7 linked regions of the Coturnix japonica genome follow. The protein of the gene in region 1 interacts with the protein of each later gene in a pairwise test. Links are inferred from orthologs where the notes say so. Each region holds a gene or a part of one and is shown in the gene's direction. Other genes may lie near its edges. The genes, in order: RBPMS, C23H1orf94, TOLLIP, HEYL, MGAT5B, GRAP2 and FOXS1.

Region 1 (4,229 bases):
GCCGCCTGTGTCCCACTGGCTTCCCCACACCAGCCGTTGTCACGCCTTCCGGCCCTGTGTTCCCAGCTGTGTCACACCTCTTGTTCCACGTTCTGTCCCGCATCCCGTGTGCCATGTGCTCACACCGTGCTCCCAGCCTTACGGCCCGCGTCCCCATCGCTGTCCCCAGCCCCGCGTGCTACGTACCCAACCTCGCGTCCCACGTCCCAACTCCAACGTCCTCGTCCCCAGCCGTACGTGCCACGCACCGAACCTCACGTCCCAGACCGCAGCCCTTTGTCCTCCATCCCCACCCCGCGTCCCGTCGCCCCAGCTCCGCGTCCCACCCCCGCTCCCGTCCCCGGCCCCGTCCCACCCCGTGTCCCCACGTCCCTCCCCCAGCGCCGTGTGGCCGCCCGCCCGGCCCCGCCCCGCCCGGCCCCGCTCCCTCCCGCCCGCCGCAGGGCCGCGCCGGAGGCAGCCGCGGGCGGGTGGCGGAGCGGCGGCGGCACCATGAGCAGCGGCGCCGCCGAGCGGGAGGGCCCCGCCGAGCCGGGCCTGCCCGAAGAGGAGGTAGCGGGCCGGGCGGGGGAGGGGGAGCCGCCGAGGGCGGGCCGGGTCCCGGGGCGGGAGCGGTGCGGCCCCCACGCGTGTCCGCGGGGTCCCGTCAGCCTGGGCGTGGGGCTCGGGGCGCGGCGGGAAGCTATGGAAGTTGGTGGGGGGGGAGGCGGAGCGGCCCGGAGCCGGGTGCGCCTCGGCACAAGGGCTGTGGGACGCGGGGCGCTTGGACTCACGCGGGGTGCGGGCACGGCGCCTCGTCCCCCGGAGCGGAGGCGGCGGCACAAGGTCCCGTCGGGCGGCACGGCGGCCGCGCACAGAGCCTGGCCGGGGACGGGAGCCGGGACGGCGGCCCCGCTCGGCTCTCGGCGGCACCGCTCCCGGCACAGCGCGAGGTCGGTGCCGCCGCTGCCCGGCCGCCGCGCCCTCACCCCGAGTGCGCGGGCACGAGGACGGGTCGCGGTCACGCCGCGGGCGGGGGTCGGGGCGGGGGCAGCCGAGCGGCTCACCGCTGGTGGAACATTAAAGCGAGCCCGGGGAAGGTGATCGGATGCCTGGGGAATGAGTCACCGCGCTCCTCCCGACGGTCCCTTCCTGCCCGAGCTGACCGGCGGAGCTCGGCGCTGGGGCGGCGGAGCGTGACCGCGTCCTTGGGGCAGCCGAGGGGCCACGGCGCTGACCCGGTGCCCGTCGCACCGCCCGCGGCCGCCGCTGCTGTGCCGAGCCGCCTCCGGGCCGCTCTCGGGCGGAGCGAGGCCCGCCAGGTCTCCCCGAATGTCCCCGGGGCGAGGAGAAAACCTGCCGGGCGGGGACAGCGCGAAGGGGACGGAGCAGGCACGAGGCTGCGCCCCGGTCTGTCCGTGGGCAGCAGCAGAAACAGAGGGGTGCGGTGGGGTGGGCACGGGGTGGCTCCGGAGCACATTCACCACCCTCGCCTGGTGACAGTCCCGGGCTGTGACGAGGGATGGTGAGGGGTGAAGGCGAGCCGGGGAGAAAGGCTGAGCGCGGCAGGGTGGTGGGGCTGCCATGGGGGGTGTCAGCCCACTGGCGTGGAAGGATCCCTCCGGGAGGGGTCCCCAGCCCCCACAGAGGGGATTCTGCCACTGCCCACCCCGGCCTGCACTGACAGCATCTGCAGGGCCCGGGGAAGGCTCCAGAGCCACAGCCTCTGTCAGGGAGCTGCCCCGCTCCGTGGCAGAGCAGGGGCAGCCTTTCCCCACGGCTCCTTGCTGGGGAGACCGCATCGCAGCTCCTTCCCCAGCCTCTGCTTGTCTCTGGTTTTGGGCAGGGGGGAAAAGCCTAAATGGGATTTCCCCCACCACCCCCCTTCAAGCTCCTGCTGTAATCTGCGCTTCTCTCCCTGCTCACTGAGCACCGCAGCACTGGCCCGACTTGGCCGACCTGCGTTTGAACTTTCAAAGAAAACAAGTCATTACCGAGGAGAAGCCGCATCTCTGTGAGGCCTAATTTCGGAGGGTTTTTTTTCAGGGCCTTTATCTCTCTTATCTGCTGCGCAGCCATGGGGCTAAATTACCCGGAAAGTCAGGCTCGGGCGGGTTTAGCTTTCAGGAACACAGCTCACAGCGGGCACTTCCTTGAGGCCGTGAGCACAGAGCTGTGTGCAGGAGCGTGGCCTGGAGGCCCTGGGGAGCCTCCTGCAGGCCCACAACCAGCTGACGCTCTGCCCCTGCAGGTGAGGACCCTGTTTGTCAGCGGCCTGCCCCTGGACATCAAGCCCCGCGAGCTCTACCTGCTCTTCAGGCCCTTCAAGGTACTGCACCCGCTATGGGGCTCTGAGGGCCTCTGAGGCCAAATGAAACCAATGGTGCTTCTCTTCTCTCCCGCAGGGCTATGAGGGGTCACTTATCAAGCTCACCTCCAAGCAGGTATGGGCTGCACCGTGCCCCCACCTGCCTGGGGGCTGCCCTCACCAACTGCTGGGGATGTGGTGGGGTCTTGGCCCTGACCGCCCTTCGCCTCCTCTCTCCGCAGCCCGTGGGGTTCGTGAGCTTCGACAGCCGCTCAGAAGCTGAGGCCGCCAAGAATGCACTGAACGTGAGTGCTGGGACCCCCTAGGGAACACCAAAAGAGATGGATCCCAGTATCTATTACCCCGTGGAGACCTCCTGGGGAAGCCCGGTTCCTCCCCATCCTTGCATTGAGGCAAAACGCCGCTAATCCCTTGCTGGGAGCGTGGCTGCACGGGATACCGACTACCAAATATGGTGCTGAGCTCGAGGATGTCAGAGGAATGTGAGCCACGGGGCCATGCTCGCTGCCAAGCACATGAGGTCACGGCCACCCCAGCAGCCCGTGGGGATATTGGGACAAAATCCGAGGCTGTTTTAGCCCAAATGGCCTTCTTGAATGGGGGGCAGCACCCTACCACAAGATTCAGCCTAACTGACCTCTGCTGCCCTGTTCCTTTCCACAGGGCATCCGCTTCGACCCTGAGATCCCCCAGACCTTGCGGTTAGAGTTTGCTAAAGCCAACACCAAGATGGCCAAGAGCAAGCTGATGGGCACTCCCAACCCCAGCACGCCCCTCCCCAACACTGTACCTCAGTTCATCGCCAGGGAGCCCTGTGAGTGCTTGCATCCTGACCCTGGTCCGCCCAGTATATGGCCCTGGCAATGCCCCTTTCTTACTGAAGCAGTTGGGGCAGTGATACCTTAGGAGCTGGGTGCAGGGAAGCTTTTGGAGAGGCACGGCAACTGTGGTTGGGTTTGGAAACCAGCTGCTTGTGCTTGGGATGACGCAAGGGCAGGTGACGGTGGCCTGGGCAGAAGTGCAAAGCTTATACCTGCTGTCCACTTTCCCCTTGCTTTTAGGATTAATTTTCCTCCTTTTCCTGCAGATGAGCTCACAGTGCCTGCACTTTACCCCGGCAGCCCTGAAGTGTGGGGGCCGTACCCTCTGTACCCAGCGGAGCTGACGCCTGCTCTACCTCCTCCTGCGTTCACATACCCTGCTTCGCTGCATGCCCAGGTAATGGCACTGGCTCACAGCACTGCAGCCTTTCTGACAGGCAGAGCAAGAGGGAGGGAAAGGAGGGGAGCTCTGGGGCCAGCTGCCCAGAGGAAGAGCAATGGTAAATATTATTGCAGCCTCATACTTCCCCTGTCAAGGCAGCGCTGACAGGCAGCACCTGTGCTCCTCCTGGAGGAATCAGCACTGCAGCCACCGCAGCCCCAGGGTATGGCTGCACTACCCTTTGCTGCAGTTTTCCTTCCTGCTCACCCCCTGCCCCCATGTCTTGCAGATGCGCTGGCTCCCTCCCTCCGAGGCTGGGTCTCAGGGCTGGAAGTCCCGTCAGTTCTGCTGAATGCTGTGTAAGTGCCCCCCGGTGTCCTCCGTGTAGCACACCTGCGGTGCCAGCCAAAACTTGGGTAGGAAGGGGGACGTGCCAGCCCCATCCCTGAGCCCTGCCATGCCACCCACAGGTCTCGGGTGTGTGATGGCGGCCGACGGTCAGTCTTGTGGGTATGAACAGAGCCCCCCGGCGGCTGCTGGGCACGCACGCTCTCTGCAGAACCACAGTGTGCTGGTAAGGAGCGCAGTGCTCGGGCACAGGCTGTCCCCCCATGCTTAATCATCCACAGCGGGGGTGGGAGTTCCAACTGCCCTGTCACCCCACCCCCTCTCTGCCATACAGCTTCCTGCCCTATAGCAACACTGGTCACACTCCTCT
Region 2 (3,332 bases), on another chromosome or scaffold:
CAGGACAGAAGCAGCAGCTCCCAACACTTGCCAAGATTTGCTCCAGACCTGACTCCAATGCAGCCACAAAGGCACTGCAGAATCCAGGTATGGATCAGGACACAGTTTCTTCTGTGCTAATTTCCTGGTCTCAGATAGTTTTGTTCTTACAGAGCTCAAAACAAGAATCTTTTGCCCCATTCCAGTCATTCTTACAGCTCAGGAGATTAACTTCATTCCAGGTCCTGTGGGTTGGGGTTTAATGGCCTTACATGTGAATCTGATCTGCTCATTTCTAAGCATGGGTCTCCAGAAATACAGCCTGCAAAAGCATCTTAAACACTTTGCTCACAGGGAGTGCATCCCCTTAGCTGCAAGTGCTTCATGGTTTAATGAAGGGAATGCTTAATTATCTTCACCCTTGTTTTGTTTTACAGTAACTACTGCAGCACTGGATAAAAAAATAGTTATATACAATGCCAGCACTTCCAATCCACACTTTCCCGTTACTACAACCACCACAAACTTAAACCAGCCAATGTGGCCGAGTCTGAGCTTCCCTCCACTTCCTCTATATCCAAACCAGCCAAACTACCCACCCTTTCAGGTAAGATTGAATAAACCCACATTTTAGAACATTTCCAGGCCCATACTGACAAGCTCAGGGCAGCAACTACCTCTGCTATGAGAACTGCTTTCTGATTTGTAGGGTAGAGCCTAAAAGAAACCAGGCTGCTGTCCTACAATGACTGATCACACTGGTTCGCCATCAGTGTTAACATCCAATGTAATGCAGTCCTCTGAGATGTTAGTGATCAAAGGATGATGTTCTATTGACATATACTGAATGCTGACCTCTCTTGGCATTCATTAGTTTCCATGTTTATGTTGCATTTACAAATATTTATCCTGTATTACAAATATTTTGAGCTAATAATTCATTAAGGATATTTCACTCGGTGGCTCTGTTTGCACAACAGGATGCTGCTTGCTTTCTTTGCCTGGCGAAACAGGACCTCAAATCAAAGTGAAAAAGCCATCTAAGGTTATTAAGATGGCAAATGCTTAAGTCAAAAGGAATGAAAGAATGGGAATTGTACATACCTATGGTTTACAGCCCCAGAATTTCCCCTGAAGCCCACGGTTCAACAGAGACCTACTGAGCACAGGACAAGTGCAGTCCTTCCACCCCCAGCATTCAGCCAGGATTTGGGCTTCTCTGCCTGGTCTTAGGGAAATAAAGGGAAGACTTCCCCAAATCTAAGAAGTTAATTTACCTCAACCTGGTTTCTCTGAACACAGCTTTACACTAAAAAAATTCATGCAAAAGAAATAATAATTAACAGAGCAACTCAAACTGTTTTAAAAGTCATGCTTCACATTCGCTTAACAGGGTCCATACCAGCGAGCAAGGATCCCTTTCCAGCAACCTCTGCACCCTTCCTATGGATGCTATACAAGACAGGTGCGTTCAAACAGCTACGAATGTGCTTCAGTTTGCAGAGCACAGATGCTAAGCACAATGGATTAGTCAGTACTGTTTGTCCTATACCAAGACTGACATTGATGCCATGACTAAAACAGATCTGGGGACAAGATGCAGAGCTGGACTAAGTTAATTTAGTTCTTTGGAGCAGTATGTATTGCAGGATAGCTCATTAGATGGCCCTGAGCCTTTAACTGAAGGGATCTATTACATATGCTCAAGTTTTGTACCAAATAATTTGTCTGTCTTCTCCATTCGGACTGCACATCATTAGACTCACCCCATTCCCATGTGGTTTCTTTCTCTCTCCTCCCCAGGGGGCTCCATACAGCCCACAGATGTACCGGTCACCCTACACTCCTATGCTGAATTACATCCCCCTTGTCCAGCCTGGCTTCCCACACCAGAGGGCCCCAGCTCAGCTGCCCACCAGCATCCAGGATCTGCCAGCAGCACGTGATGGGATGCGGTTCACATTTCCTCCTCCTTATGGGTACGACAACGCAGATCTTCTTTCTAGCTTCATTACCATCCCTTACTGTACACCTTCATAGAACTCACAGCCTAATCACAAACTGGGTTCCCCAGCTCCATTCTCACCCAGTGCCAAGTCAGAACACAATATGGAGTATATACCCAATAGAAACTTCTCAAATAGGTTTGATACAGGAACAAAGTAATTTGTTTTAAGCTAACAAAGCTGCTGTAGGATAAGATCACACCTACAACTTTCCAGTCCTCATGGATAAAGCATGAACTTTTTGTTAGCAGAAAGGAGATGCTACAGCACGATAGAAACCAAAACATTTTGACACAGAACATCATGAAAAGATTCACCTCCATAAGCTTCTATAATAACCAATGATCCAACACTTAAAGGACTGACAGCAATAGCTCAAACTTCCCCCTAAACCCCCTTTCCAGAAGCCATATTGTGTCTTTTAAACAAGTTATTTGGGGATTAATGCAATCTCCTGAAGCCAGACTGAATGTTACTTCTTGTTTTAGGTTTGCTGCTGTGCCTGGAGGAGCCGTGAGGCCAACACACCATTACCCCCCCAATGCGAACTGCGTCAACTTTTAAGAGAACCAGTTCTCCTATTGCAATAGCACCAGATTTTTATGTATATATCAGGATTCCTAGGATCCCATAAGAACTTTGTGTTTCCCCAGAGAGAAGATTTCTATCTTGAATATAAGTCCACGTGACTTACATGTTAAGAAACAGCTGCGTGACAAATCAGAAGTAATTTATTGTTGTTGATTTTTTTTAGGATGACAGAAAAAGGGGCTTTTTCCCTTTTGGAAGACAAAGACGTAATAAAAATGTTTTATTTATGACAGATGCCTGAACACTTAAAATTCAATGTTGGTGCAATAAAGACTTTTTTTTTCCCCAAACAGAAGTTCTGGCCACAAATTCCAGCTACGGTAGTTGTAAGGTGTGCATTCAAAGTAAGGGGAGCACAGATGCAGTCATCCCATCCTATTACTTCAACCCTAATGCTGAACCACACGTTAACCTGACTGGTAGCGCTAAAGATGGCCAAGCTATAACGTCTGTATGAAGAATCCTCTTTAAATGTATTTCGTTGGTTATTTAATTCAACTTCAAGGCTCTGATTTTGTCCCTTGCAGATCCTTTAGGGAACTGCAAACTAGCCAGGATGTACAAAGAAGTTCCCTCCTGCAAGGAATGGGGCCATAGGATCGTTATAGGATCAGGGGTCTGACCACAGCTGGAGCCCTAGTCAATAACACCAGCACACTCAGGCAGGATCACTGTTTCTTTAGCAAAGAATCAAAGGCATTAATGAAGATACTTATCAATGTTTCCTTCCTTAGCCATTACTCAACACTGTGAGCC
Region 3 (3,500 bases), on another chromosome or scaffold:
TGACTGAACAGTAAAATAAGTGTGTAATGCCTTGTGTGCAGCTGGGTAATATTTACACTCTGAAGGCTTTGTTGGTGCTTCCTTGCTGCTTTTAGCGATGGACTGCTGTTGTACTTGCTTCACTTACTGGAATGCCATTGCTAATGCCAGCATGTTTGCCATTGCCATTTCATTGAATTAGAAAACAGTGCTCTGTTCTTCTGATGTGTAACACCTCTTAACTGAAAGCAACGAAGGAGCATACCATTATACTTAGAGGATGTTTCAGTTTTCACCTGTTAGTGAAACAAGCTGCTTAACATGTAAAGCAGCTTTTTACTGAACAAAGAAAAAGCAGAGGTTTATTACAGCTACTCTGATAACCGTGTTATTCATACGTATGTCATACATACCATATATGTTTATGTTAACTTACATAGTGTTTAAGTTTATGCTTAAGTCTTGCTTACTATTTTGTGAATCAGAAATAATAGATGCTTTTAGTCTGGGGCGGGGACAACAACGAAGTCAAGAATAATGTACTATTGAAATTGGCTATGTTGACTTCCATGAAAAAGAAGCATGTATTCTAAAGTGCTTATGAAATATCACTGATACTAACTTCCATTGGTGTAGTCTGAATGTGGGGAGAACAATACTGGCAAGAAATACCTCATCTCTAAAATCAGATATTTAGACTGGAAGTACTTAATGTTGCATGTGCAGATATCTGGCCACATATTTACATTGTTTTGATGTAAGCAGTAGGGAAATTGTCACCTTTATTATTTTCTTTTCAAAGACAAACTTAATGGCAAGCTATAGGATGCTGTGACACTTCAGAAGTGTACTTGATATTTCATTTGTCTTAATGTTTAAAACTAGTCTTTTTTACATACAGATCTTGAATAGCCTAAGCTGATAGCTGGATAGTCTTATGGTGTTGGTGACTGACTTTATTAAGTTAGGAAACTTCACTTAAAAGGCAATCTGAAATGCTGCTGGATGTAGTTGTATTTGTTTGTATTTTGTGCAGGGAGCTGTATTTGCAGTGTTGTTTTAGGACCACTTTGTGGTTTACTTCTGGGGTACGACCATAATCTAATGTGCCAGATGGTCAAAGAATCTGATAGTGCTAAGCACAATCTGAGGGAACGTGATTCAAATGGCTTAAGAAGCTGTAGAGCCCAAGTTCAGGCTGTTGTGGAGGGGACTGCAGGTGTCCTTGTGAGGTAGTATGGCTGGGAAGAAATAGTTTGAGTGTGTGGGTAACAAAGTTATGTTGAGAAGAGGCTTTTATTTAGGTGCCAGTGTGAACCTTTTTAAATAGATGCGGCCTCGGTTCCTTTTTTGCTTCTAATAAAGCTGAAGAAGATTACAAGGAGAGTTTTAAAATCAGAGAAGACTGATTAGCATGTCCAAGACGCTTACAATCAGTAGTGGACTTCTGCATGAAACTGAATAGGACTGAAGTCCAGATTGAAGGAAGAAACAGCAAAGAATATGTGAAGTAAAACAACAGCTGTGGTGCACAATCAAACTGTATTCAATTAGAGGGCACTGTCAACTAAAGTTTGATGTAAGTTAAGGTGGGATTTGTTGATCCAACTATTAGTATGAATTTTAATACATCATTTTGAAGGCTGGAATGATTGTACAAGTTAGTAAGCATAAACAAACAGTGGTTCTGTAGGAGCAGCTCATACTTCAGGAACTGTAGGTGTCTTGCACCTACTTGTTACTGGCCTCCACCTGGACATGGAGCCATTGACCACCACCTCTGTCTGCGGCCTTTCAACCAATTTCATATCCATTGAGTGGTCCACCCATCAAATCCACATCCCTCCAATTTGGAGATGAGGATGTGGTGGGGCACCATGTCAAAGGCCTTGCTCAAGTCCAGGTAAATGACATCGGTCGCATTACCTTTGTCAACCAACACCGTCACTCCATCATAGATGGCCACAAGTTTGGTTAAGCATGACCTTCCCTTGGTGAAACTGTGCTGGCTGTCTTGGGTCACACACTTATTCCTCATGTGATCAAGCATGTAGTCAAGGAGGATCTGTTCCGTGATCTTCCTGGGCACAGAGGTGAGACTCACCGGCCTGTAGTTCCCTGGGTCCTCCCTGCTCCCCTTCTTGTATATGGGAGTGACGTGACCCTTCCTCCAGTCATCTGGGACCTCACCTGACAGCCACGACTTCTCAAATATGATGGAGAGCAGCTCAGCAACCACCTCAGCCAGCTCCTTCAGGACCCTGGGATGCACACCATCCGGCCCCATAGACTTGTACTCATTCAGTCTCAAGAGGCACTCTCGGACTTGCTCAGCCTTCACAGTGGGGAGGGATTTACCTCCCTGGTCTCCTCATAGAGGGTTGGGGATGCAGGGCTCAGGGATGTGAGGAATACTAGAATCCTGGCCACCAGTGAAGACCGAGGCAAAGAACTCATTCAGTACCTCAGCTTTCTCTTCATCTGTTGAAGCCAGTCCTCTTAAATTTACCAAAGAAGGTACACCCATTTTGGCCTGTCTCTTCTGGCCAATGTACCTGTAGAAAGTCTTACTGTTTTTCTCATCCCTCGCCAAGTTCAGTTCTGCCTGCACCTTGGCTTTCCTGATCCTACGTCTGCAAGTTCGGATGGCATCTCTGATGTTGTCACTTGGAGGTACTTGAAGAAGTCTCATGTACTCTTGTGGGCTTAAGGGGAATTGTACTTTTGCTGCTCTGGGGCTTTGCAGGTGGAACTGGAAGGAGCTTGAAACAAGGAGGACCATTTGCTCGACACTCATTTGTGTATGTGGTTGAGTCCTTTCATGGATTTCCTTTTAATGTGATGAAGATAACATTTATTTTTTAATGTCTACTTATTGGATATATATATTGCTGGTTTAAAAAGCAGCTTATCGCAATATAAATGCAATAGGGCTTAAAATACACTTAGTATCTGATGACTTAATCATGTGTAAGCCTGGTTGATATAGGTTGTATCTTAATTCTGAGCTGTACCTATTGTTATATTGCTTACGGCTTCTGTAATGTAGCTTGGGCAGAGGACCAGTTCTAGGAAAGTGCTTTTGACTGCAATGGTCTTTGCAATCTCTGAAGCAGGTGGATTGGTGGTAAGGGATGGACCACTTCCTTCTTCGCAGTCATTTATTTTTCCCTTGTGTGTGTTTTTTTTATTTCTCCTGCATGCAGGAATGCCTGCAGTCTGTAATCCTGACATGGTACCTGTGGCAATACCACCTCCTGCAGTCAATCCTCAGCACCTGTGTAATGAAGAGGACCTGAAATCTATCCAGGACATGTTTCCCAACATGGACAGAGAAGTAATCCGCTCAGTGCTAGAAGCTCAGAGGGGGAACAAGAACGCAGCTATCAACTCCTTGCTTCAGATGACTGAAGAATCCTAGAATCACTTCCTGCATTGTGCTTTTCCTCAATGCCACTTATTTTTACTTGCCAAGCCAGGGATTTAGCTAGAGGAAGAATTTCCTAACAGTTTGCTGTTAG
Region 4 (3,025 bases), on another chromosome or scaffold:
CTCTGTCCTGTTCCAGTTAACAGGATGGGGATCACAGCTCCAGTAAAGAAGCCTCTGGCTTTGCTTACCACCCACTTTTGGCTTTCTGAGGACAGTGCTGGCATCCAGGCTTTGCTTCAGAGCTGTAACTCGGTCTGGAACATTTGTTTAGATATTCAGTTTGACTGCACTGCAACAAAGGGCTGCATTGTCCCCAGAGACCCCGGCAAGCAGAGTGGTCCAGTGCTCCACTGCTCTGTGACATTCTCTGCTTTGTTGCTGACTGTCTCACCAAGCTACGAGGAGGGAGCAGGAGCTGAAAAATCAGCCATTGTGTTTTATCTTATTGGTTTTCATGTGGCTCTGAGCTTTCCCAGCCCAGTGTCCCCGGTTCAGCCATTCCTTCACTGGGAGGTCAGTGTAAGGGAGGTGTCAAGGGCTGAAGTCACTGGGACTCAGGCAGAGGAACGTGGCACTGTGATGGAGATGCGCTGCCATAGAGAGGATCCCAGCACACCCCCAGCTTTCTGTACATCCCCAGCAGCCAAAACTCACAGAGCCCAAAAGAAAAGCTGCCATCTTCCCTGAGTGCAGTTAATGAACCTTCTCGCTCGTCCCACATGCTAACGGGTTCATGACCTGGCAGTCCTGTCCCACCGAGATACGCAGTGCTGTTGTCACACACATGGACACCCTCTTGGCTGTCTGCTGCAGGGCAAAACACGGCAGCAAAGCGCCTCGAGTGAAACCTATGGCATGGCACAGAGGGTGGGGGGGCCATGTGAGCTCCTGCCCAGTGCACAGCCCGACCATCCCCGTGTCCCCGCAGGGTTCCTGGACGCTCGTGCTCTGGCCGTGGACTACAGGAGCATCGGCTTTCGCGAGTGCCTCACCGAGGTGGTGCGGTACCTGGGCGTCCTGGAGGGACAGAGCAGCGCCGACCCCATCCGCCTGCGGCTCCTCTCCCACCTCAACAACTACGTGGCCGAAATGGAGCCGTCCCCGGCGGCCGCCTCGCTGCTCCCGGTGCAGACGTGGCCGTGGTCCTTCCTGCACAGCCCGCTGCCGGTGCCTCGCCGGGAAGCAGCTCCCGCTCCTCTCCTTGTGACTGCGTCCTATCCACGTCTCACCGCCAGGCCGGCCCCGCTGCGCCGCGTCCCCGCCGACGTGCTGCCGTCACAGCGGGGCCCCCTGCCCGGCAGGATGGCTTCATCCACCCGCAGGGCTCGAGCTGCCCCCTCGGCTTCCACCGCGGCGGCCGCACCTCGGCTGCCATCTCCATCGGGGGCACCGAGGGGCGGCTCAGCCAAGGGCAGCCCCATCTCCGCTCTGCTCTTCTCTCCCGCTGGTGTCCCTCTGCCTGCAGCCTACGCTGCGCCCGCAGCGCTGGGAGCTGCGCAGGGACCCGCGCTCAGGGTGGGGGCAGCCCGGCTGTGCCGCTCCTGGGCCACTGAGATCGGCGCCTTCTGAGCCCCCAGCGCCCCCTGCCCATGGGCTGCAGAGCGGAGCCAGACAACCGGGCGCCCCTCCTGTTTGCGGAAGCCAAGGACCCATCCAGAAGATCCTCTTTGCTGTCCCCCCACCCCGCTCCTCACGCTGCCTTCCTCACTTCACCGTCGCTCATCCTTTGCAGTGCCCACAAGTGTCAGCTCCATCTGCTTCCATGCGTTCTCTGGGATGGGGGGCACTGCAGACCCCGGCCCTCTGGCAGAGCCCAGTACCGTTCTTTGCTGCCTTATCTCCTTGGGGACTTGGAGCTCATGGATGGACTCACTCGGGCTGTGTTCCCCAACTGCAGCACCCAATTCCAGGGTCCTGGGATGGGTCTTGCTGCTCCCAGCACTGCTCTTCCTTGATGCAGCCCAACTCATCCCACTCACAGCAGAGCACTGTTGGGCTCCAACAGCCCTCAGCCCACAGCCAGGTGAGAGGAGGTGAGACACCGGATTTCAAAGGACCCTGCGTGGAGGGGGTGACTCTGACACCGACGTGAGAAGAGCAGCCCTTCACTCTGCCCATCACCCTGCAGGAGCCGTCTCACCTCTTTCCCCCATTGAGAGCACAGCGTTTCAGACCAGCATTCCAAGTGCCTCCCCGTTTTCTCTTGGCCTTTCTCCTCCCGCATGTTTTCTCTCTCCAGCACCGTGTCATGGTCTCGTGTTTCTCACCCCTGGTTCTGGACCAAAACCCATGGCTGCTGCACTGCTGTGTGTCCACAGATGCTGGGCTGCGTTCCTGCAGAGCACGTGATGTGTGCAGCCCTGCTGCTTGGAGAGAGAGTCTTCCTGGTTGTTCTGGTGAATGCCGCTGCACTTAGTGTACAGAAATGCCTCTGCTGCTCCTCCTCACCCCCGGTCCCCAGTGCCAGAAGCAGCCAGGAACACTTTCCTTCGCTGTAAAGCCAGAGGAGGCCGTGGCCCCGGCTGTCCTGTGCTGCTCAGTGTGCCAGAGCGGCAGCAAACAGCCCAGCCTCCCTCTGTTAGAGTCACAGCTGTGACATCCAGCAAAGGTGGTAAATAAAGTCTTTCCAGCCCCTGTTGGTGTGAGATGCAGTGTTGGTGTGCAGCTGTTCTGCCAGTCTGGATGCTGGGATGACTGCTGGCGTTGCAGCACATGAGCTTTGTTGAGGTGTAGTGTAAGGGAACATCCCCAGCAGGAACGCTGCTTGTGGTGGCTGCTCCCGTGACTTCTTACTTTGCAAACCACTGCATGAGCTGAGATCAGCAGGGATCTCATGGCTCTCACCCTGAGGTTGGCAATAATCCATGGCTTGAGCACAGCTCGTTTCATTTAGCTCCCAGCATCCACAGAAATGCCTTGGGACGCGCTGAGACCAGTCCAGCCAGACTGCGGGGCTGCCCTGTGTCTGCTGACCCTCTGTGAGCAGAACCAGAGTCACCTCTCGGCTCCGGGCTGTGGGAAGAGCTGAGAGCAGCCCCTGTTCAGCGGGGAGGATCCTCAGCGATCCCGGCCGTGAAAGAGGCTGCGAGAATTTCCCGGGGAACGGTGAAAATTCAACTTCCTTTCCCATAACTCGTTCTCGCTC
Region 5 (3,500 bases), on another chromosome or scaffold:
ACATCACCAACCTGGGTTTGCTCCCCACAGCTCTTCATCGGCTTTGGGTTCCCCTACGAGGGTCCGGCCCCACTGGAAGCCATCGCCAACGGCTGTGTGTTCCTGCAGGCGCGCTTCAACCCTCCCCACAGCTCCCTCAACCATGAGTTCTTCCGTGGGAAGCCCACCTCCAGAGAGGCAAGTGCTCAGTGGTGGGAAAAAGCACCTGACTGAGATCTTCGGAGAGATCCAAATCCCAAAATGTGAATGTATCATCCCAACATGCATCTGTTGGATGGAAGGGGCTGTGGGTTGTAGAGGAGAGTGATGCAGGGGGATGCTCATAGACCCCACCCTCAGAATCCATTGCCCGTTTCCTTCCCACTGTGCTGATCCATTCACATCCCTCCCAGAATAAGGGCTGGTGTCCTGCTGGCAGCCTGATCCCCCTCAGCCCATTGTATTTTTGTAAAATGAGGAGGATATGGGGAGTATGACATCCCTCCCAGGCTTGCCCATTGCTGGGAATTCAATCTAAGTGAAGCAGGAACTCTTTAAAAGTTAAAGGGTTGAGAAAATTGCTTCTTTTATTATTAATGAAGTGGATAATGCGGCACAGTGCTCACTCCCTCAGCTCGGCTGGGCTGTGTCACACTGTCCCCAATGGCTCCCAGTGTTCTGGAGTGCCCTGGGGTGTTCATGTGGAGGATGGGAGGAGGTGGTCACTGCTACAAATGAGAATGGAAAGCAAGCAAGAAGCACACATGGCTCTTCTTCTAGCAGGCTCTCCTGCTATGCAATGCCTTCCAAGACAGCTCAGCATCCTCTCTCCTCCTGCCCCTACCCAGGCCCCCAGGGCTCTAGCTGCCTTTTAGCAGAGTGAGGCTGGAAAAGCAGCATTTGGTGCTACCAACAACTGCAAACCAACAGCTCCTGTGCTGTGCTATAGGTGTCCTCCCAGCACCCGTACGCCGAGGACTTCATCGGGAAGCCACACGTGTGGACTGTCGACTACAATAACTCCGAGGAGTTTGAAGCTGCTATCAAAACAATTCTGAGGACCCAGGTGAGAAGGGCTCCCCAAAATGAGCCTGTGTGCCAAGGTGAGAACAGCTCTCATCTGCTCTTTGTTGCCCTTGGGATGAGCTGTACCCTCACTGTGACAGCGTTTTGGGGTGGGTGCATCACCATGCAGCTGTGAGGTGAGGTCAGTGTGGATGAGGTCATGTCGGCGCCTCGCCACGATCTCTGCTGTTAAAAAAGGAAAGGTAAGAAATAAAAAGGGGGTTGTGAGGAAGTTGTGCTGCAGGCTGATCAGCTCCATCTCCAGATTTCTCCCCGTTCCCACGTCAGCTGCTCATAGAAATGCAGTTGTGGTGCAGTCACAACACATCCTTCCTCCCTTCCTTAATTAACATCTCCTACGTCGCTGAGAGGAAGGAGGGGAGGAGAGTGTGGATGAGGCAGCAGCACAGAGAATGTGGCACCAGCCTGGGGGTGCTCGGCTGTGGGGTTTTCTGGGCATTTTGCTTTGTGGTGTGGCACCTATGCTGGAAATATGGCTTCATGGTCTATTGAATGATGTCTCCATGGAGCAGGGAAGTCCCACAGACCCCTTGTTTTGGACGATCCCCATTGCCTTGTTGCTGCTGGCCATGCCCCTTTAGGGGCTGTCAGGGTGTGCAAGCCTAAATTCACCCCAAATGAATACAACCCAGAGCAGTGTGCTGTAACAGCTCTGCAGGGAGAAGTTCCCATACACCGAGAGGCACAATAAGATAAGCCCACCAATCCCCTCTGCTCTTTGCTCTTTTAAATGTGATCTGTATATTTACCATCTGCAAGCAGAGCAGGGAACGAGCAGAGCAAGAGTCAGCAACGGCCTGTTTGTCTGTTTTTAACATATCTGTGTTAGAGATGCTGTCAATGCAATTAAGACTAACAGTTGACCAACCTCCCAGCTTTAAAAGCCCCACTATTAGCTTTGGGAATCCCTCGGTATCTTGTCTTTAAACTACTGCTGGTTACAGCAGGAAATGAGAACAGCTGATGGGTGGTGAGAACGGGCAGCTCAGTGCTCAGCCAGGTGGGAGGAACTGCTTTCTGCCTCCTTCTTTCCTATAGCAAAACAGGGCGTTGTGTTTTCAGACTGTTTGGCAAATCTCTCCTTCAGAATAATCACCATCCATTTATTTCTTTCGCTCCAAACGTTGCATTTCACCATTACTGAAATGAAATAAGGTGTTTTTGTTTCCCATCTGTGTGTCTTTGTTTGGAAATGACCTGCTAGGGAAACTTGTATCTGAAATGATGCATTTCCCTTTGCCTCACCAAACCAAACAGATTGTCTGACCTGAAACAAAGCATTTTTCTCCTTGCTGGGAAATATTGGGAATTAAAAACTGACCTGAAACTGGTTTTACTCTTTTCCTTTCTATTCTTCCTCTTTGATTTCCCCTTCCTTTTGCCCTTTTCATTTTCCTCTCCCCTCCCCTTTTCCCTTCCTCCCCCCCTTTTTCTTTCTTTTTCCTTTTTCTCTTTTCCTTTTTCCCATTTCCTCTCCCCTCCCCCCTTTTCCTCTCCCTTTGTCCCCTTTTCCTTTCCCCCCTTCATTAAGAAGTCACTAACCACACACCTTTGGCTTTGCACCTTCAAGGCAAATCTCAGCTGAGCACTTTCAGGAGGGTGAGATGCCACCCCCTGCTGTTGTACCAGCAATGAATTGCAGCTCGCTGCCATAGCCTGGGCTGAGAGGGGCAGAGAGGTTTCGAGGCACAAGGATTTCTCAGCCTTCAGCTCTTTCCATTTGTCCCAGCACAAGCCATTTAACAGACCCAATATTCTGGTGTAGCGAAGGGAGAAGGCATCATTATATTAAAGTCAAACATACAGGAATATAATGGAAAATTATACATTTCAGCCTATGCTTGAAAGAGTGGCGTATTAAACATCGCAGCGAAAATAGCTGGTTTGAGTGCTCCCAGCCTGCTGCCGGGGGGCAGCTGACAATTGCATTATTTTGCTGCTCATTACTTAGGGATTATGTTTTTCTTCCTTTTCCTTTGCAACAAGGGAAGCAGTTCTGGGATACCCAATGGGGTCTGTAAAAGAAACAAACCCAAAGCACCTTTGTGCTTTGCATTGCATCCCCACCGATGCATGCAAGGGAGGGTTGCAAAATCCCTTTTCAAGAACAAGGGCAGAGCATCACCCCGTGCAAAGCCCCCCCAGCACTGCTGTTGTGAGTGCAGGGGTGTGAGGCTGAGTGCTGCAACCCCAAACCTGCAAGACCTGGCTCTGGTTAACTGAGCAGCATCAATGCCTGTCATGGTGTCAGCACCAATTACACGGCACACCTGTAATGAGACAGAGCAGCTGCGATTTCCAGCCTTGCTGAGATCTCAGGTGGGATATTTATGGTGGAGAGATGCTTAGAGGGATCTTGTTGGCAGGCTGAGCCTTTGGAGCTTGGCTCTGACAGGTACTTCAAAGGAGACAGCTATTTTGGAGGTGCAGAAAAT
Region 6 (4,049 bases), on another chromosome or scaffold:
GAGGGAGGCTTTTAAAGACACTTCAGTAAGAGACTTCATCAAAAAGAGTTTAGAAATGAATGTATGTTACCTCAAATGATCACCTGCACCCACATGCTCATCATTTCCTTCACAGAACTGCATCAGATTTGTGCAGTGGGACTGCCTTCTGCAAAAGCTACAAGGTGCAACCTCTATGTCATTTCTCTCTTCACGGTAATCTTTTTCTTCATTATGGTTTCTGCATATTAATTTCAGGCATACAGAAGTTAGACCTGCTGCTCTTTGCATCCCCTCAAAGCACTTTTAAAATGGTTGGCATCATGTTTGCTGCTTTTTGCCCTAATATGGAGACTGAGTTAAGTCCTACATTGTATGTCACAGCTCAATTGTTCAACCTTTACTATTTCACGCTCCGTTTAATTTTCAGTCAAGATTTCTAAAATACCGAATCCCTGGATTTACTCCCATTCTTATACTGATTTGTCCTAAAACCACTTCTAGTTTCCCTGGCTTTTCTCCACAAAGAAAACCCCAATGTGGGAAACAGCTTACATCCCTTTGGAAGACCCACGGATGCTGAGGATTCACTCAGCTTTTATGCCTCATCCTTATCTTCTTTGAGCACCCTTTTTACATCTCAATCATCTGTCAGCCTTACAGACGCTCTGGCAGGCTTCCTGCTTCTGTTGTCTTTGAAAATAATTTTATTACGTGTTTTTATGTCTTCAGCTCCTTGTTCCTCAAGATATGCTTTTCAACGAACCTATGATGGTTTCTCATTTAACTTGCAGATCTGTGCTCTTTTCTGTTTTCTATAGTTGGGTAGAACTCACATTTTTTGAGGGATCGTACCCTCTGTTATTTGGCTGTTAAACAAGGATGGGCTGAGGCAGTGGCAGCAAACTGACAGCACCATTAAAAGCACGTGTCATACTGAGTATCTTCAACTTTAGAGATTGAAAATGGTCTGTGTCCCACTCTGTCCTGTGATGGACACTGTTTCAGCATCCGTCCTCCGTCCTCCATGCCAATTCCTGACCACCCTCATCCACACACGTGGACCCATTACCACCGTGGCACTGTCACTGCAGGGAGGAGCCTGCATGGGCTGAGCTCTCCTTTCCTTCCTTTCCCCTAGACAGCAACACACCTCCTGCTTTCTAGAAAAGTGCCACAGGAGAGGAGAGCTACTGAAAAAAGGTATGGGGCAAGTGTTTCTCTGAGAGATGGGGGACCAAGCTAAGTGGGAAAAGCTCTAGGGAGGGAGGTGGGATCTTGAAGGGAGAAGTAAAGCACTGCAGGGCAGGGGAAGAGCATGGGATCCCTATGTCATCTTGTCGGGTGGCTTCCACACCAGAGCAGTGCTTGTGAGAGACAAATCCCTGCATCTTGGCCACATCCAACCAGCTGGGAGCTGTGGGAGGAGGTGGGGTAGACTGGGCTGGGGAAAGCAGCCTCTGGTCCTCAGCACCAGCAGAGATTCATGATGTTGTGCTCTCACAACACTGTTCAGAGTTGTGGCACTCTTCAGCGCTGCCTGTGCATGGCGTCTCAGGGTGCTGCCCTGATCTGCTCTGTGTGCTTGGAGCAGTACGAGGCCCCAGACTTCCCGGGGTGACCAAGAGCCATCCTCACCTGGCTACTTCTTACTGACTGCTGTTGGTCATAGAGCTCTATAAATGTTTTCCTTCTCTGGATCCTATTCTTTGTAGGTTTATTTTGTCAGAGCATTGTGCAAGGGCTCAGCCCAGAGCCCTGCATTCCTTTGGATGGCAGCACAGCTAAGACTGAAACATACAGCGCTGAGCACTTTAGTAGCTTGTTCTCCCTTATAAATTTTACTCTCTTATCACTGACAGTCAGCGGAGCTGTGCCATTAACTCAGTAACAAGAGGCTTGTGTTTTTGGAACGAAATATTCCCATGCCACTTGTATGTGGCTTAGCTGGTGACAACAAAGCCTTTATCTATCACAGCTCTTCTAGATAACGGGTCCCTCCGCCATTGTTTCTGCTGAAATGTCATCAGGAGTTTCTGTACAGATGTTCAGGGTTGAATCCTGTCCCTGGTTGCTCATCAGTCCGATAGGTTGCTCTTGCGGAGCGGAACAAAGACGCAGCAGCTCGCACTGTGTCTGTCAGCACGAAGCCTTGCTGGATGGAGCTGCCTGCTGGAGGTATTTGTGCTGCAGGCAGGGAGATCAACATTCTGTTCATAGGGCTGCTTTAAGCAGCCACTTTGTAGGAAACCGTGCTTTCTTCTGTGATGTTAATATGTGAGATTGAGTAGGGGTGAACCTGAGCCATCCCAGAGTGATAAACTTCATAGGAGGTGACCTTCCCTGGCATTGTTATTACTGAATTTTAATCCAATTTGGTGTAGGGGAAACTCTTTGGGATGCTGTTGTCAGATTACGCTGCTTGCTGACATGATTTAGGCCTCAGCTCTTTTCATCAACAGAGAGGCTGATGTTCTTGCTCAGGGAATGGCACTCTGCCAAACTGAAATACCTACCTCATGCTCTCAGAGCTGGGCTGCTTTTCTCTTCACTCTTGATGAACCTCCTGCAGCATCAGTCCCACGGAACAGCAGTAGCCCTGTGCCCATTGGATCTGCCTCGTTGCAGTGGGGAACTGCAGAGAAAATTCACCTCCATGCAGAGAACCGGCACAAAATGGAAGTACTCATCAGCCTATACTCAGAACTGACAAATCCTCCTTTAAAAGTTGCAGAGGCTTCATGCTAAACCCTGCACAAAGGTGATTTTTTTTCTCTCTCAGAACATTATGCACAGTCTAAAATTGTCCTTGGTTACTTGAAAGCTTAAAGGAGTTGCACCAGGCAGTTAAAAGCAGAATCTGACTGCCTGCAAACTGCAGTGCTGTCCTTTGGGATAAAAGGTGCTTGAGAAATGGAAGTTCTGATGATTACCTAAAAAACTCTCATCTTGGTGTGTCATGGGGTAGTGCTCAAAGTCACACACATTCAGAGAGCAAAAGAAAGGGCCCCTGGAGGAGATTTTTCATGAGGGCCCAGCACTGACCTGCACATCCTCGAGTTACAGATGGAGGGAGGACTGGGATCAGAAAATAGAGGTGGTTTGAAGTTCAGGTGATGAAAAGTGGTAGGCTGCCATTCAAAGACAGGATTATGGGTTAGTGCTTCTTTAGTAGTTTGTGGGGGAAGAGCTTAAGGCCACAGCATTGCTGATTTATCAACACAGCCAACACTGTGCATGGTATTTGAGTCGCTTCTAAATCCAGCCGCTGGCAATGAAAAGCACATTTAATCCATGTGTTAGATTGTTTGAAGAGGTATCTGTCTCCTGGTCTCTCCCCATGGTTGTGATTGCTGAAATTGAAAATGAGGTGAGAGAGGAGATTTTAACCGTTTCACAAACACTTCTCTCGAGAGGGTCACGGCTCCAGTGGCATCTTTAGCACCTGGGAGACTGAGAAATGAAAGGCTCCCCATCCCTTCCTGCTCCCTGCAGAGAGAAGCCCTGCTGCCTATCCTGTGACTGAGGAGCAAAAATCAAAGACAGGATTTGTATTTATTGTTTTGAACTGGTTTGGGGCTTGGAGGTTTTTTGTTTGTTCTCTTTGATTTCTGTTGTTTGTTTGTTTGTTTGTTGTGCTTTGTTTTGTGTTTTGTTGTTGGGTGTTTTTTCCTCGAGATGAGATTAATGCTCTGCATTAGGAGTTCCAGGATTCATTTGCACTGTCGGCTCTGATCCCCACCACCATATGAAGAAATACTGAAATAAATCCCTTACTAAAGTAATTATCCTTGGTCTTTTTTCTTTGGTTCTCTACCGTGAAAGAGTATTATTGTTTATCTAGTTGTCCCAATGGCTAATTCCTCCCCTATTTAAAACCCTTACACTCTATCAGCAAGAATGGCTGTGGGAAGTTACAAACAGGAGTGCAAAGAATGTCAGTGCAAGAACAGAGGACAGTCTTCAGATCAGGTCTGAATTGCATCCATAGAGTTGCACCTGGAATAAAAAAGGGGCAATTAGACAGCAAGCTTAAGCTATACTTGCAGCTCTGATACACATAGAGCAAA
Region 7 (3,655 bases), on another chromosome or scaffold:
CTCACCACCCGCACGGCCGAGGGCTGCCGCATCGCCACGCGCACTGAGGGTCCCTACGGCCCCTCCCGCATGGAGCTGATCGAGTTCCCCTCACCACGTGCACTGGGAAGCAGCGGGTGGACAGTCGCTGTCACCGAGGTCCTGGAGAGGCTGCTGCCCCACCTGGAGCGCGGGGTGCTGCTGTGGGTGGCCCCCGAAGGGGTCTTCATGAAGCGGCAGTGCCAGGGCAGGGTGTATTGGAATGGGCCGCTGGCCCCACACCGGGACTGGCCCAACAAGCTGGAGCGGGAGAAGACCTACAAGCTGCTGGACACACAGCAGTTCCTGGAGGGTAAGTGCCTGTCAGCCCCAGGGTCCCATCCCCATCACGGGACCCATCTGCTGGGGGACAGCTATGGGGATACAGGGTGTCCCATCCCTGTGCGGTGTTGCAGAGCTGCGCAGGTACCTGAGCCACGGGCAGCCAGCACCACGGTACCAAATCCACCTGTGCTTCGGTGAGGAGTACCCCACCAGCACCGGCCACCACCTCCAGAAGCTCATCATGGCCCACGTGAGTACACACAGGGCTGCTGATCCTTGTGCCCATCAATGGGGCGATGGGGACCCTCAGTGCCAGGCACGGACCCCATCCTCCCAGCAGCTCCGTGCCCTGCAGGTGGAGCCGGTGTTTGCACGAGAGCTCTTCCACCACGCCCAGCGCCTGGGTCCTGCTCTGCTGCGGGGCTGCCCCCAGCCCTGTGCACCCACTGCCCCCGGGCGCATCGCACACGTCCTGCAGCAGCTCTGCCAGCCCTGAGCCGGGCAGCCGAGGGGACACGAAGCCTGGGGACACACGGCCGCCCAGTGGCAAACCCATAAAGCCACGTTCAGCAGGGATGGATGCGGATGGATGCTGGCCGGAGTGGGGCACTGCACGGAGCGCTGTATTTATTCCCCAGGAGCCCAGCGGAGGCTGCTGGGTGCAGCTGTGCCCAGCAGGGGACAGCCAGCTCTGTCCTGGTGCCTCGCGCTGTGGGGATTTGCTGTCTGTGAGCTGTAGAAATAAAGGTTGTGTTTCGGTACTGCCGGCTGCGGCATCGGGGCTGGGGCTGTGCTGCCGTGCAGGCTGCGGGGGAGCTGAGTGAGGCAGAGCCAAGAACTGCAGGGACATCAGGAGCTGAGCGCTCTGCTTGGAGCCACGCAGCTCCTGCTGCCCTCAGCCCCATCCTGCCCTCTGCTTCCCAGCGCTTATGCAGGGCTGTGTGCAGCAGCGAGGTGCCCTCACAACCGGGCACCACGTCCCAAAAGCACTTGCTGCCCATGGCTCGGTTTCCCCCAGTGGTGGGTGAGGGGGCTCCCGGCGGGGCTGGGGTCGTGCTGCAGAGCAGCGCTGACGTGCCCAGGTAACTGGGCTCAGTGTGTGCACGGGGACCTGGGTCAGGGTGGGGACATGGCGCAGAGCAGGGACACGGCACGGTGCGGGGATACAAAACCACTCCAGGGATGGGGTTACCCGTGAAGCCCCATCCCCACACTGCATCCTCTCACCCCACACCATTGCTGCACTCCACATCAGCACCACCCGGGGCTGGGTGCTGCGAGCGGGCGGGATGAGCCCTGTGCCCCGTTCACCTCCCGTACCCATCACAACCCCACAGCGGTGCCAACCCGAGCCCGCTGGCTCCCAGCCCCGGGGCCGGCCCCGACTGCGCGTCCGGCCGCAGGGACCAGCACTGGACGATGGGGCCCCGCTCCGCCCTGGGCGGCCCTACGGCACCGTAGAGGAGGGGCCCACCGCCCCCACACCGTTGGGGCGTTTTAATGGGCTCGGCCGGAGCCGGGCAAGCAGAGTGAGGACGGCAGGATGCAGCCGGAGCTCCCGGTCGGCTCCGCAGCTCTGCGCGGCCGCACGGCCCCGGACAGCCCCTATCCCGGCCCCTCGCCGCCTGCCGAGGCCACCAAGCCGCCCTACAGCTACATCGCCCTCATCACCATGGCCATCCAGAGCACTCCCGAGAAGCGCATCACCCTCAGCGGCATCTACCGCTACATCATGGGCCGCTTCACCTTCTACCGCGACAACAAGCAGGGCTGGCAGAACTCCATCCGCCACAACCTGTCGCTCAACGAGTGCTTCGTCAAAGTGCCCCGCGACGACAAGAAGCCGGGCAAGGGCAGCTACTGGACGCTGGATCCCGACTGCTACAACATGTTTGAGAACGGCAGCTTCCTCCGGCGCCGCCGCCGCTTCACCAGGAAAAGGGCCCTGCAGGATGGAGAGGGGGATGAGGGACGCAGGAAGACCCCCAGGACCCGCTCACGGGCAGCGCTGCCAGAGGAGGGGAAAGCGGAGAGCGGCTTTGCATCACCGACAGCAGAACAGAGGGCAGAGGGTATTGGGGTGCCGGGCTGTGCTGGGCAGCTCTGTGCTCACCCGCGGCCCAAAGTGCCATTCTTCACCAAGGAGCCACTCGGGGTCCCGTTGGAGAGCCGCCCGCCCGCCCCCCCCCATCCCAAGCAGACTGCCTTCGGGGGACCCCCGGCTGCGCTGCCGCTGCCCCGGCCAGGTCAGTACCCACTGCCCACAGAGCCCGGCCACCCCGCGCAGCGCTCCCCGGACCCCACTGCATCCCCCCCGGGTGATGTGGAGGGCAAAGAGCCGGCGACCCCCACCATGGGGCTGGGCCAACCCTTTGGGCAGGTGCCCCCCGTTTTCCCCAGCACCCTGCTGGGCACGGGCAAGCCCCCCCCGTCTTGCTTCCTCGACGGTGATGGCTACAAGCAGCCCCCCCTGCCCGTGTTTGGCTCCTTTGGCCGTGGGGGGCCCGAGGCACTGGGGGGCAGCTACCAGTGCCGGGTGCAGGCGCTGAGCTTCTGTGTGAACGAGCGGCCGTGCGGTGCAGCGCTGGAGCATCTCCTGGCTGCAGCCCCCACTGCTGCCACCGCCACCCCCCCGGCCCCTCGCCAGCCCCCCTTTGGGGTGGGAGAGCAGAAGGAGCCGTGGAGCACAGGGGGGACGATCCCGCTGCAGGGAGGTGGTGGTTACCCCCTGGGGCTGCCCCACTGCCTCTACCGGACGCCCGGAATGTTCTTCTTTGAGTGATGGACTGACATCTCCCCCCCGCCCTGGTACCATGCAGGTACTGTAGAATAAAGCACGTTTGTTCATGCTGCCTCTGTGTCTCTGCGACCCGCTGGGGGTGGGGAGCAGGCAGGGGGCATCGAGGCCACTCCGTTCCCACCCAGATTGCTGCTGGGACATGTCTCTGTGGCCGCCCACTGTGGCTCTCCTCCATGCAGACCCCCCTTCTGGTGCCCATGGGCTGGGTGGTCTGGCATCCCCAGATGTGATGGGGATGGAGCCCCTTCCTGATGCAGCTTCTACCTGGATTGACAGGAGGGAACCCTCTCTATAAGGGGCTGGGGGATGTGCTGCACCCTGGAGCAAACCCTGCACTGCTCACACATGCCTGGTTTGCCCCATGCGCTGTGTATGGTATGAGTGGTGCTGGCCTCAGCACCCACAGAGAGAGCCAGTGGGGGAGAGCTCCATGGGATGGGGTGTATGGGGAGATGGGGCTCTCCCTGTATGGGACCATCTCCTTGCCAGGTCCTCACAGCACCCTACAGAGCTGGGCTGTGCCAGGGCTGCCTGCAGGCATGGCTACAGCTG

What was found.
Region 2: the proteins of RBPMS (region 1) and C23H1orf94 interact in binary tests that used the Homo sapiens proteins (3 or more experiments, as listed by UniProt). The two-hybrid records come from large-scale screens. The link is inferred for Coturnix japonica from reciprocal best matches to the Homo sapiens genes RBPMS and C1orf94.
Region 3: the proteins of RBPMS (region 1) and TOLLIP interact in binary tests that used the Homo sapiens proteins (3 or more experiments, as listed by UniProt). The two-hybrid records come from large-scale screens. The link is inferred for Coturnix japonica from reciprocal best matches to the Homo sapiens genes RBPMS and TOLLIP.
Region 4: the proteins of RBPMS (region 1) and HEYL interact in binary tests that used the Homo sapiens proteins (3 or more experiments, as listed by UniProt). The two-hybrid records come from large-scale screens. The link is inferred for Coturnix japonica from reciprocal best matches to the Homo sapiens genes RBPMS and HEYL.
Region 5: the proteins of RBPMS (region 1) and MGAT5B interact in a two-hybrid assay, tested with the Homo sapiens proteins (2 studies listed by BioGRID and IntAct). The two-hybrid records come from large-scale screens. The link is inferred for Coturnix japonica from reciprocal best matches to the Homo sapiens genes RBPMS and MGAT5B.
Region 6: the proteins of RBPMS (region 1) and GRAP2 interact in a two-hybrid assay, tested with the Homo sapiens proteins (2 studies listed by BioGRID and IntAct). The two-hybrid records come from large-scale screens. The link is inferred for Coturnix japonica from reciprocal best matches to the Homo sapiens genes RBPMS and GRAP2.
Region 7: the proteins of RBPMS (region 1) and FOXS1 interact in a two-hybrid assay, tested with the Homo sapiens proteins (2 studies listed by BioGRID and IntAct). The link is inferred for Coturnix japonica from reciprocal best matches to the Homo sapiens genes RBPMS and FOXS1.

Annotation. Positions count from the first base shown.
Region 1 is NC_029519.1:30,663,444-30,667,672, reverse strand, and holds the start of RBPMS (RNA-binding protein with multiple splicing), read left to right. Parts: upstream 1-1,429; 5' UTR 1,430-2,056; coding exon 2,057-2,308; intron 2,309-2,384; coding exon 2,385-2,423; intron 2,424-2,529; coding exon 2,530-2,592; intron 2,593-2,971; coding exon 2,972-3,122; intron 3,123-3,395; coding exon 3,396-3,526; intron 3,527-3,800; coding exon 3,801-3,863; 3' UTR 3,864-3,870; intron 3,871-3,981; exon of another isoform or gene 3,982-4,085; intron 4,086-4,229.
Region 2 is NC_029538.1:4,083,030-4,086,361, reverse strand, and holds the end of C23H1orf94 (uncharacterized protein C1orf94 homolog), read left to right. Parts: coding exon 1-87; intron 88-416; coding exon 417-586; intron 587-1,372; coding exon 1,373-1,444; intron 1,445-1,782; coding exon 1,783-1,958; intron 1,959-2,473; coding exon 2,474-2,549; 3' UTR 2,550-2,832; downstream 2,833-3,332.
Region 3 is NC_029520.1:9,904,947-9,908,446, reverse strand, and holds part of TOLLIP (toll-interacting protein), read left to right. Parts: intron 1-3,185; coding exon 3,186-3,400; 3' UTR 3,401-3,500. UniProt on the Homo sapiens protein: Component of the signaling pathway of IL-1 and Toll-like receptors. Inhibits cell activation by microbial products. Recruits IRAK1 to the IL-1 receptor complex. Inhibits IRAK1 phosphorylation and kinase activity.
Region 4 is NC_029538.1:4,818,278-4,821,302, reverse strand, and holds the end of HEYL (hairy/enhancer-of-split related with YRPW motif-like protein), read left to right. Parts: intron 1-808; coding exon 809-1,449; 3' UTR 1,450-2,525; downstream 2,526-3,025. UniProt on the Homo sapiens protein: Downstream effector of Notch signaling which may be required for cardiovascular development. Transcriptional repressor which binds preferentially to the canonical E box sequence 5'-CACGTG-3'.
Region 5 is NC_029533.1:3,615,953-3,619,452, reverse strand, and holds part of MGAT5B (alpha-1,6-mannosylglycoprotein 6-beta-N-acetylglucosaminyltransferase B), read left to right. Parts: intron 1-30; coding exon 31-177; intron 178-928; coding exon 929-1,045; intron 1,046-3,500. UniProt on the Homo sapiens protein: Glycosyltransferase that acts on alpha-linked mannose of N-glycans and O-mannosyl glycans.
Region 6 is NC_029516.1:45,896,431-45,900,479, reverse strand, and holds the start of GRAP2 (GRB2-related adapter protein 2), read left to right. Parts: upstream 1-1,249; 5' UTR 1,250-4,049. UniProt on the Homo sapiens protein: Interacts with SLP-76 to regulate NF-AT activation. Binds to tyrosine-phosphorylated shc.
Region 7 is NC_029535.1:8,982,401-8,986,055, forward strand, and holds FOXS1 (forkhead box protein S1), read left to right. Parts: upstream 1-1,182; 5' UTR 1,183-1,846; coding exon 1,847-3,085; 3' UTR 3,086-3,155; downstream 3,156-3,655. Other genes in the region: interferon regulatory factor 4-like, read left to right, coding at 1-331, 435-553, 659-799. UniProt on the Homo sapiens protein: Transcriptional repressor that suppresses transcription from the FASLG, FOXO3 and FOXO4 promoters. May have a role in the organization of the testicular vasculature.